Stegostoma tigrinum: one gene and its partners. The protein of the gene in region 3 interacts with the protein of the main gene of each other region in a biochemical or structural test. Links are inferred from orthologs where the notes say so. Each region holds a gene or a part of one and is shown on either strand. Other genes may lie near its edges.

Evidence for each region.
Region 1: the proteins of large proline-rich protein BAG6-like (region 3) and small glutamine-rich tetratricopeptide repeat-containing protein alpha-like form a complex in vitro, tested with the Homo sapiens proteins (4 studies listed by BioGRID, with this or other methods). The link is inferred for Stegostoma tigrinum from reciprocal best matches to the Homo sapiens genes BAG6 and SGTA.
Region 2: the proteins of large proline-rich protein BAG6-like (region 3) and amfra form a complex in vitro, tested with the Homo sapiens proteins (2 studies listed by BioGRID, with this or other methods). The link is inferred for Stegostoma tigrinum from reciprocal best matches to the Homo sapiens genes BAG6 and AMFR.

What each region holds. Positions count from the first base shown.
Region 1 is NC_081383.1:7,848,628-7,852,382, reverse strand, and holds the start of small glutamine-rich tetratricopeptide repeat-containing protein alpha-like, read left to right. Parts: upstream 1-1,400; 5' UTR 1,401-1,534; intron 1,535-3,755. UniProt on the Homo sapiens protein: Co-chaperone that binds misfolded and hydrophobic patches-containing client proteins in the cytosol. Mediates their targeting to the endoplasmic reticulum but also regulates their sorting to the proteasome when targeting fails.
Region 2 is NC_081369.1:10,286,942-10,290,696, forward strand, and holds the start of amfra (autocrine motility factor receptor a), read left to right. Parts: upstream 1-1,540; 5' UTR 1,541-1,706; coding exon 1,707-2,075; intron 2,076-3,755. UniProt on the Homo sapiens protein: E3 ubiquitin-protein ligase that mediates the polyubiquitination of lysine and cysteine residues on target proteins, such as CD3D, CYP3A4, CFTR, INSIG1, SOAT2/ACAT2 and APOB for proteasomal degradation.
Region 3 is NC_081387.1:19,777,285-19,781,039, reverse strand, and holds the start of large proline-rich protein BAG6-like, read left to right. Parts: upstream 1-1,051; 5' UTR 1,052-1,408; intron 1,409-3,755. UniProt on the Homo sapiens protein: ATP-independent molecular chaperone preventing the aggregation of misfolded and hydrophobic patches-containing proteins.

The DNA of each region.
Region 1 (3,755 bases), on a different chromosome or scaffold from region 3:
CAATGCATAAGAATCCTGGCGGGTTTACAAATTACTCAAATTTCCATGCTGACACAAAAACGTGTTTCCGAGAAAGCCTGACAAAGTAAATATCTGCACTAAAATGAAATACACCACGGCATCATATTTCCTACTTCTCGAATTACCACCATGACAAAATTATTATCCAACTGATTAGGTTGTTTTCTCTCAAAAGCATGTTGAAGGGTGACCTGATATATGTCTTTATGAGTTAAAAGTGTACGTATAAGCCATTTCCATTTGAGGATCATGTCAAGAAGAGGGGCCATAAGGAATTCCCAGCCAGTGAATGAATGTAGAGTTAGTGCAGACTTGATGCTGAATTTCTGCACTGTAGGGATTCTATGATAAGATAGTCAGCACTAAATCCAGGAGAAACCTCTGTAAAGAGGGTGGACCTCAGAAGAGACAGGCAACACCTAAAGAATGAAAGGAATAAAAGAATATGTTGTAACAAGGTGTAGAGCTGGATGAACACAGCAGGCCAAGCAGCGTCAGAGGAGCAGGAAGGCTGACATTTTGGGCCTAGAGCCTTCTTCAGAAAATAATATGTTGATCAGGTTAGATGAAGGGTGAAGAGAATAAGATAATATATTGATAAGAGTTAGATGAACGACATGAAGAGGCTCATGTGATTCATAAGCATTGCGTCAGTCTGTTCTACTGAATGGCTTGTTTCTGAGCTTTAATTCTGATTTCACAAATTGACTTCAATACAGAACAAGGTTTATTTATCCTTAAAAATAAAGCTTTGTGTCACTGTCAGTTTTACTATTTAATATATAATTAATTTATAAACAAGAAAATATCAAATATTGGGCGTGGAATGCCCTGCCTGCCAATGTAGTTAACTCAGCCACATTAGGGGCATTTTATGATGGGATAGTGTAGGGGGAGGAGCTTAGATTAGTTCACAGGTCGGCGCAACATCAAGGGCCGAAGAGATAATGGGAACTGCAGATGCTGGAGAATCCAAGATAATAAAATGTGAGGCTGGATGAACACAGCAGGCCAAGCAGCATCTCAGGAGCACAAAAGCTGACGTTTCGGGCCTAGACCCTTCATCCCCCTCTCTGATGAAGGGTCTAGGCCCGAAACGTCAGCTTTTGTGCTCCTGAGATGCTGCTGGGCCTGCTGTGTTCATCCAGCCTCACATTTTATTATCGAGGGCCGAAGGGCCTGTTCTGCGCTGTATTGTTCTATGTTCTGTATCTGCTGAACAGCATATCAGTTACCAAGCCTATCATCACCACTTGAAGCATTAGCAAAGGAAGTTTCGTCCCCTATATCGGAGCATGCATAAAATGATACTTATTTGACAGATGCGGGCAACCCGAGCAGATGGGCACATGCACCCTGGGGTTCGGCCGTCAACGGGGAGTACGCATGCGTGCTGCGATCCGATCGTCAAGCCGAACAGCACATGCGCTCTAGGGTCCGAAGTCGTCTCGGACGGAGCATGTGCAGAGAGTGTTGTCTTGGTGTTCGTGTCCGTATTTAGTATCAGAAAGCGGTGAGTTTGAAGAAAATATTCCTCAATGGCTTTTGTGTGGGTGATATGAAGAAGTTAGAATGCACCTCCAATTTTGTTTTAAAATAAAGGAACTTGGTATTATAAGTTGGGTCGCTTTTCTGTCGGCTGTGTAACTAAGTGTGAGTGAGGAGGCGCTCAGCGATGCTAGGCCCAAGCTGGAATGTTCTGTCCTTGTATCACTCTGACTTGGGTTTAGTTGTGTGAATATCTCATGTCGAGATAGTTGGCACATTGATCTGTGCAAGCAGTGTACATGTCCTCTGTATTAATGCTGCTCCTATGAGCTAATTTTCAATTAGCTATTAAGTGTTTGTTTGCTGGCTTACCATTTTCACAAATTACATTTGCTGTCTAGAATAGACTAGTGCATCAGACATCAGCATGCAATGTTGTGTTCAAGTAGAATCCAATTGTCAAAGGACTGGACTGTGTTGTAAGGCCTACATAGTTAAAGTGGATAAGGTATGATCATTTTGCAAGCTGATTTGCAGCACTACATTTTGTGTATTCTCTGCTGATTTGGTGTAATATTTATGTATTCAATTGTAATGGATAAAGTCCCCTTGCTTTTTAACTAACTTGTTTGTATTCTGCACCAAAGCAGGAATGAATTTTGGAATCACAGAATCCCCACAGTACAGAATACAAACAAATCCATTGTACATGCCTATTTGCTGTTTGTGTTTTTTTTCTATGTTTGCTTTTCCAAGCCCCCTTGCGCAGGGTGGCTTTCCTTCCTCTACTGAGCCTTTCTCTGTCACATTTATTTTCAATTTATATTTAAATGTTTATTGGTTTCCATTGAAGTTGTGCCATTGGCCTTAAGCAGCTGATTTATGTCTTTCTCATTTTTTCCCCAACTTTAATTATCCTGGGATGCAGTTGTAAAGAATTTGAATAAGCCTTTATTATCAAGTGCACTTGAATGAGTGCAGTGAAAAGTTTGTAATGTCACTATTTTGGCAGCTTCTTAGGAACAGGGTGCTTAGGTACAGAACACTTAAGTATGTGTTGCAGACTTGAAAGAATTGCAAATAAAAATTCAGTGTAAGGATAAACAAGTTTTCTTTTTAAAAAGTACTCAAATTTTAGTCTGTGCCAGTACCGAGCCTTCAGATTGCCCAGGCCAAGTCTCTAGACCCACTAGGCCTCAGATCTTGAGCTTCCAGTCCCCAAGGGCCTTGCTTCTGGTCCACGACTTGCTGCATCTGCACTGGCCTCCGTCCCAGGACTCAATGTCCCTGTGCTGGCCTGGCCCGGGACCCCCTTTGCGACTTGCTGCCCTCGTCGGCCTGGCCTGGGAGTTGCTTCTGGGACTTGACTGAGTTACTGTCATGCTGTGGAGAAAGGGGTAACCCTATCTCCCAGAATGGTGTCCTGATTCTTCAGTTCAGGAAGAAGGAAAAAAAAGTAATAGTAGGTGACCGTTACTACTTTGTGCAGTTGAATGGCTTCAGTGCGAGCTATGTTTTTTTTCATTTCAGAACTCAACAGATGTACAGCTTTTAGTAGCTCAGTGTTTGCATCTGTACTTGGAAAACATGGTGTAGATACTACAATAATTCAAGCTTTACTCTTATTTTTCTGTTTGCATAACAATTTCTTCAGAATTGGAGGCACATTATGGTGCAGAAGGAGGCCATGCTGGCTTTGTGTTTGCACCAGCTAGCCAACGAGCATTATGGCTTAGTGCTGTTTTCCTGCTTTTTTTTTCTTGTACCTTTGCATCTTGTTTTTACTTAAATAATCATCTATTTCCATCTTGAATGCCTCTGAATCTGGCTCAACCACATTTCCAGGGGGTCTAAACCATGTGTGAAAGCTTTTTTTTGACATCTCATTCACCATATTTACAAGTATCTTTTAAATTTCTGCATTCTTGTTGTGGATCATTTTATGAGCAGGAACAGTTTCTTGCTATAAATTCTATCCAGATCTCGCCATGATTTTGAAAACTTCTACTGAAGCTGCTTTTTAGCTGCCTCCAGTCCCAATATCTGCCATCAATGCTCATAACTGAAGGTATTTATCTTTGGAAGCATTTTTGTAAATCTCTTCTAAACTCTGTCCAATGCATTCACATCCTTACATCAGTGTGGTACCCAAACAAAGCACAGTAGTCCAGCTGAGATCTAACAAGTGTCTTGAATAAGTTCAGCTTTCCCTCCTTGCTTTTGTATTCTCTGCCCCTTTTTTAAAA
Region 2 (3,755 bases), on a different chromosome or scaffold from region 3:
GATGTCAGTTGCAGCTGGAAGTTATGTCCTTTGTTATTGCCCGTGTATGTTTGGAGGAGCTATGAGTTTGCTGTGTGCTTTTAATGAGAGCATTAAATATATAACATATCATAATCAAACACCTTGTCATTATTATAGTTTGCTCATCTACTTTAACAAAGGTAACACTGTAAAGTCTTATCCTGGCATATTTTCTCAGATCATCAAACCTTGTTTACGTCTGCTCCCATGTTTAGTAAACATTGGAGACATTGTAGAACCTTTTTCCAAGCATTCAGCACTGCTTATACAGAGATTCTGTAATGCAGGACTAACCCAAATAATCTAGATTTTGCCAGTGTCCATGAAAATATGCAGCATGGCAGCAACATCTGTGAAAGTAGAGTGTCCTTCCATTTTACCAGCGTACCAATTGTGAACAATCCACTTGTCCATCTCTCTGCTTGCCTCATTCTTTTTTTGCCTATTGTTCTTGCTTAATTTTTCAGTAAATCAATTCCTTCACCTCCTTTCTCTTCTATTTCCTTTCCAGTCTTCCTTTTCTTTCCATGCTCTTACATGGCCTTTCATTGATTAAACAGGGTTTTTTTTATAATTGTAGTTCCTATGTTCTGGGTTGGAGGGAGTTATTTGATTAATGTTTCATGAAAACATCAGTTAGTGGTTGCAACAGTCAAGAAAGAAATTTGAGCCTGGGCCATTGTGATAACAGAGATCTTGGGCCATCGAACAGCCAGGGAATTGGGAAATGATAGACATGGGAAGTGAGTTTCTGAGTAGAAAGGAAGTCTAAAGGTGGGATGGGATTTAGATGAAACTGAGGCTGGGCAAGATAGCTTTTCATCCATTTCCGGATTTACTATTCAAACAAGCTAATCTAGATTGGTGAAAACGGAAAGAAATGTGGAGGCTGTAAATCAGGAACAAAAACGGAAGTTGCAGGAAAAGCGGAAGCAGGTCTGCCAGCATTTGTGAAGAAAAATCACAGTAAGCCACAACAGTTCTGAGGAAGGGTCGCCTGACCCGAAATCCTACTTCTTCTTCACGGATGCGGCCAGACCTGCTGAGCTTTTCCCGCAACTACTGTGTTTGAATCCAGATTGGTGAGCATGTTAGGTGATGGGCAAACAGAACATGATGCAAGCAATCAGCGAAAGTTTGGATTGGTTTAAGTTCGAAGAGGACGGGATAGTTGAGAAGAGAAACTGTAATACTGAAAAACAGAGGACAACAGTATGGATAAGGGTCTCAGCAGCAGACGGCACGAGACCGGGGTGATGCCACCAGCAATGATGATTAAACCTATAATAACTACTTCAGAATATTATGAGCGAATTCTGTAACTCTAAGCTTAGTAAGGAATGCGTCAAAATGTATATTTGTTAATACCGTCCTCCAAAGAGCTGTTATTGATGACTGCAGGCATGACTAACTGACTCGGTAACCATGGAGACTATCTCCATGACAGTGCGATCCGACATCCCCGTCACTTCGGGAGGTTCTCCGTCCGGCGGCGTCGTCTCAGTACGTCACTTCCGGAGGTTGTTTCCGGCTCGCTCTCCCCCCATCCTGTGTGCTGACGTCACCGATATCGTTGGCTCGAGTTAGAACGGGACCGTTTCTGCGTGCCCGAGCGTTAACGGGAATCTCGGTGCCGTCTCAAGCCAGGTCACTGGGGTAACGGCAGCGCAGCCATCAGCTTCGCCATGCCGCTCCTTTTCCTTGAGCGTTTCCCCTGGCCAAGCTTGCGGACCTATACGGCCCTGAGCGCAGCGCTGTTGGCGATCAGCCTCTTTAGCGCCTATTCCAACCTCAGCCTGCCCCCGGGCCCCGCTGCCCTGCGGGTCCCCGACCCCGGCGATCCTACCCCCAGCGACGCCACAAACGGCGATCGGCCGAACGGAATCGATGAGGGCGGCAGCGGCCGGGAAAGCGGGGCAAACGCCGCCCAGTACTTGTCTCCCAATCATGGTGAAGGCGATCTGGGATTAACTAGTCGACCCGACTGGGCCAATGGCCATGGACTGGCGGCACAGATGGCCTGGTACCTGGTGTCAGACGGCTGGTGTGTTTGGGTGAGTGCTTGTATTGCTTCGTTGTGTTTTTATGGGGGGGTGTCAATTTAGTTTTGTAAGGAAGATGAGTTTCTCTGGCCTTTTGGACTGATCAAGCAACTTGTAGACGTGGTTTAAAATTCTAAAACCTTATAGGAAACAATTCGTTAAGGGACAAAAACAAAGTTGCTGGAAAAGCTCAGCAGGCCTAGCAGCATCTGTGACCCTTCCTCAGAACTGTCTTATTCAGACCCGAAACGTTAACTATTTTCCTTCACAGGTGCTGCCAGACCCGCTGAGCTTTTTCAGCAACTTTGTTTTTGTTCCTGATTTACAGCATCCGCAGCTCTTTCACTTTTTAAATCGTTAAGGGAGTTCTTTTTGAACACAGTAATCGATAACGGAATAAACGCATTGCTGCCGTTGTCACTGACTTGTGTTTCTAAACGTTCGGGTCAGAATTCACTGACGCGGTTAGATATTTCAATGTGTACTCCAAAAGAGTTTCCGTTGGAATGAAAACAAATTTTCATAATCTACTGTTGCAGTTTTTTTCTGTTCTCTAAAACCTCTTAAAGATTTTTACTGTAAAATTTATTTCACGTTCGTCATCTGCTAAAATGAATGATGCAGGGCTCACCTAATACTATCGTTTGAAACAGAAATAGTGCCTTTCTACACTCGCTGGGTACCATCTTTCTTCTAGCGAAAACTGAAGGAAGACCCATTTTATTCCTTCAATTCGGATCCAGTGCGTTTCCTTCTAAGTTTCAGGAGGTGCCCTCGGAGGTGTGTCTAGCTTTTCAAATATTCTACGAATTGAGTTGAAGCATTTCGGATAGAGAACTGAATATTTGGAGAAATAAAAGAAATGTAGTATGAAAGATTAGGATCATACGATTAGGGAGATTAAGCCATACCTCTTCACAATTCTGTTTGAGTGTTGTAGAAGGTTCCTGAACTACAGGTGAGTTTGAAGTGTTGGGCAACAGTCGGAAAATGGAGTTAAAGTTGTGATTGGATCAGCAATGATCATACTGAATGACAAAACAGACTGGAAAGGCCATAACACGTACTCCTATTTGTGTTCTTGGGTTTTTGCATTGTGATGAGGAAACCCATGAAATAACTTTGAGCTCGTATGTAACCCTGGGAATGAAGGGATGGAGTGTTGAGTGATGTGAGCTCTTGATTCATTTAAGATATGTAACTCTTAAGGGTCAATGCTGGTAGCATTGCTCTATCCAAGTCATTCAGAAATACAATGTAGGAAAAAATTCCAGAATTTGCTGATTGTGTTACATGTGGACCTGCGGTAAACATACAGGATGATACCAATGAACTGTAAGATGGTAAAGCAAAATGGGTAGCAAATTGCAGATAGAATTCATTGCAGAGAAGTGAGAGGTGATACATTTTGGTCAAAAGAATAGGAAGAAGCAGTATATGCCACAACTGCAGCATTGTGCCAAGTTGTAGGAAATGATGGTCCTTGTGATGGTGTAGACAAGATTCACTGAATTGCTCCAGGGAGAACAATCCTGGAACCAGAGGTTCAGGAGAAATCTGACAGCTGGACAAGACTGAGATAACAAGGTGTAGAGCTGGATGAATGCAGCAGGCCAAGCAGCATCAGAAGAGCAGGAAGGCTGACGTTTCGGGCCTAGACCCTTCTTTCTGCTCTTTTGATGCTTCTTGGCC
Region 3 (3,755 bases):
GTGCACTCAGACTGTGTACAGAATATGGCTATATCACAGTATGAGTGTGACTGTGTACAGACTGTGAGTATGTCCAGTCAGGGAATGTGTACAGGCAGACTGTGTAAAGGCAGTGAGTGTGTGTGCAGACTGTGACAGTGTACCAACTGTGTGTGCACAGATTGTGACTGTACTTGCTGCGGGTGCAAACAGAATGTGTGTACAGGCAGTGAGTGTTTATAGACTGTGACAGTGTACAGAATGTGACAGTGTGCAGACTGTGTGTGCACAGATTGTGACTGTGTACAGGCTGTGGCTGTGTACAGGCAGTGAGAGTATACAGTCAGTGATAGTGTACAGGCAGTGAGCATGTACAGACAGTGACACTGTACAGACTGTGACTGTGTACAGGCAGTGTATTCAGGCTGTGTGAGTACATGTAATGAGTGTGTACAGAATGTGAGTGTGCCTCTGTAAAGGCAGTGTGTCCATACAGTGAGTGTATACAGTCAGTGAAAGTGAGTGCATAAGGCAGGGAGTTATAGTCAGTAAGTGTGTACAGACTGTGAACAGGCAGTGAGTGTGTACATGCAGTGTGTATGTACAGTCTGGAAAGTGTACAGACAGATTGTGTACAGCTGTGAGCATGTACTGGCAGTGACTGTGTACATGCTGTGAGTGTGTACAGACTGTGTCCACAGTTAGTAAGTGTGTACAGACTGTGAGGATGTACTGGCTGTGACAGTATATCTGCTGCAAGGGTGTGGAGACTGTGAATGTGTACATGCAGTGAGTGTGTATAAACTGTGAGTGTGAATCTGAGCAGGTAGTGTGTGTGTGTACAAACTGTCGCTGTGTGTGTACAAGCTGTAGCTGTGTACATGCAGTGTGTACTGACGGTGAGCGTGATTGTACAGACTGAGTGTGACATGCACAGGCTGTTAGTGTGTACAGGTGGTGCATATGCGCAGACAGTCACTGTGTATAGGCTGAGAGTGTGAACAGGCAATGAGTGTGTACGGGCAATGACTGTACACAGACTGTCAGTGTGTGAGGAAAATGACTGGGCACAGGCTGAGTGTGTACAGGCAGTGAGCATGACTATACAGGCTGTGAGTGTGTACAGGCAGTGAATGTGAGCGTGTGCAGGCTGTGAGTGTGTACAGGCAGAGACAGTGAGTGTGCAGGCAGGCGGGAGCGGGGCAGCCGCGGTCTCCATGGTTGCCGGAGGGGGCCTGGCGGGGAGTGCGCAGGCGCACTGCTTCTCGGGGACGGTGCCGAGCGCGGAGACGGTCACAGAGAGAGCGGCCGGTGGGTGGCGAGACACGGGCCTGTTCATCACCGCCGGCAGGGAGCTGCACCAACACCCTCGTCCCGGCTGCTCCACTTCCGAGGCGGCGGAGAGCCCGGAGCGGGATCGGGAACCAGGGTGAGTGCGCCACGGGCCGCAGGAGGGAGTGAGGGCCCGGAGCCAGGCCTGAGGGAGTAGGCCGCGGGACGGGGGGGTGGTGGGGGAAGCTTGGGGGTGTGAGCCAGGAGCTGGGGTGAAGGTGGTTCCCTATTCCCCCCCCCACCGCACCCACTCGCGTTTTCCCTCCGTGTGTGTCCTCAGAACCTGCGACACTCCCCACCAATTACCCACACACACACACTCCCCCCCACACACTCCCCCCCCCCACAACACACACTCCCCCCCCCCCAACACACACTCCCCCCCCAACACACACTCCCCCCCCCCCCAACACACACTCCCCCCCCAACACACACTCCCCCCCCCCAAACACACACTCCCCCCCCCAACACACACTCCCCCCCAACACACGCTCCCCCCCCAACACACACTCCCCCCCCCCAACACACACTCCCCCCCCCAACACACACTCCCCCCCCAACACACACTCCCCCCCCCCCAACACACACTCCCCCCCCAACACACACTCCCCCCCCCCCCCAACACACACTCCCCCCCCCAACACACACTCCCCCCCAACACACGCTCCCCCCCCAACACACACTCCCCCCCCCCAACACACACTCCCCCCCCAACACACACTCCCCCCCCCCCAACACACACTCCCCCCCCCCAACACACGCTCCCCCCCCAACACACGCTCCCCCCCAACACACACGCTCCCCCCCCCAACACACACTCCCCCCCCCCCAACACACACTCCCCCCCCCCAACACACACTCCCCCCCCAACACACACTTCCCCCCCCAACACACACTCCCCCCCCAACACACACTCCCCCCCCCAACACACACTCCCCCCCCAACACACACTCCCCCCCCCAACACACACACTCCCCCCCCCAACACACGCTCCCCCCCCCAACACACGCTCCCCCCCCAACACACGCTCCCCCCCCCCCAACACACACTCCCCCCCCCAACACACACTCCCCCCCCCCAACACACACTCCCCCCCCCCAACACACACTCCCCCCCCAACACACACTCCCCCCCCAACACACACTCCCCCCCAACACACACTCCCCCCCCCAACACACACTCCCCCCCCCAACACACACTCCCCCCCCCCAACACACACTCCCCCCCCCAACACACACACTCCCCCCCCCAACACACGCTCCCCCCCCCAACACACGCTCCCCCCCCCAACACACCTGCCTCCCCCCCCAACACACGCTCCCCCCCCAACACACGCTCCCCCCCCCAAACACACGCTCCCCCCCAACACACGCTCCCCCCCCAACACACACGCTCCCCCCCCCAACACACACGCTCCCCCCCCCCAACACACACGCTCCCCCCCCCAACACACACACCCCCCCCAACACACGCTCCCCCCCAACACACGCTCCCCCCCCCCCCAACACACGCTCCCCCCCCCCAACACACGCTCCCCCCCCCAACACACGCTCCCACCCCCCCAACACACGCTCCCCCCCCCAACACACGCTCCCCCCCCAAACACACGCTCCCCCCCCAACACACACTCCCCCCCCCAACACACCTCCCCCCCCCACACACACTCCCCCCCCCCCCACACACACACTCCCCCCCCCCACACACACACCCCCCCCCCCCCACACACACACTCCCCCCCCCCACACACACACACCCCCCCCACCCACACACCCCCCACCCACACACCTCCTCCCCCAACACACACTCCTCCCCCAACACACACACCCCCCCACCACACACACACTCCCCCCCCACCACACACACACACCCCCCCCCACCACACACACACACCCCCCCCCCCACACACACACCCCCACACACCACACCCCCCCACCCACACACTCTCCACCCACACACTCTCCACCCCACACTCTCCACCCACACACTCTCCACCCACACACTCCTCCCCCAACACACCACACTCCCCCCCCCCCCACATCACACTCCCCCCCCCACACACACTCCCCCCCCCACACACACTCCCCCCCCCCACACACACCCCCCCCACACCACACTCCCCCCCCACACACACTCCCCCCACACACACTCCCCCCCACACACACTCCCACCCACACACACTCCCCCCCCACACACACTCCCCCCCCCCACCCACACACACCCCCCCCCCACACACACTCCCCCCCCCCCACACACTCCCCCCCCCCACACACTCCCCCCCCACCACACACCCCCCCCCCACACACACCCCCCCCCCACACACTCCCCCCCCCACCACACATCCCCCCCCCCACACACTCCCCCCCCACACACTCCCCCCCCCCACCACACCCCCCCCCCCACACACCCCACCACCCCACACACTCCCCCCCCCCACACACCACCCC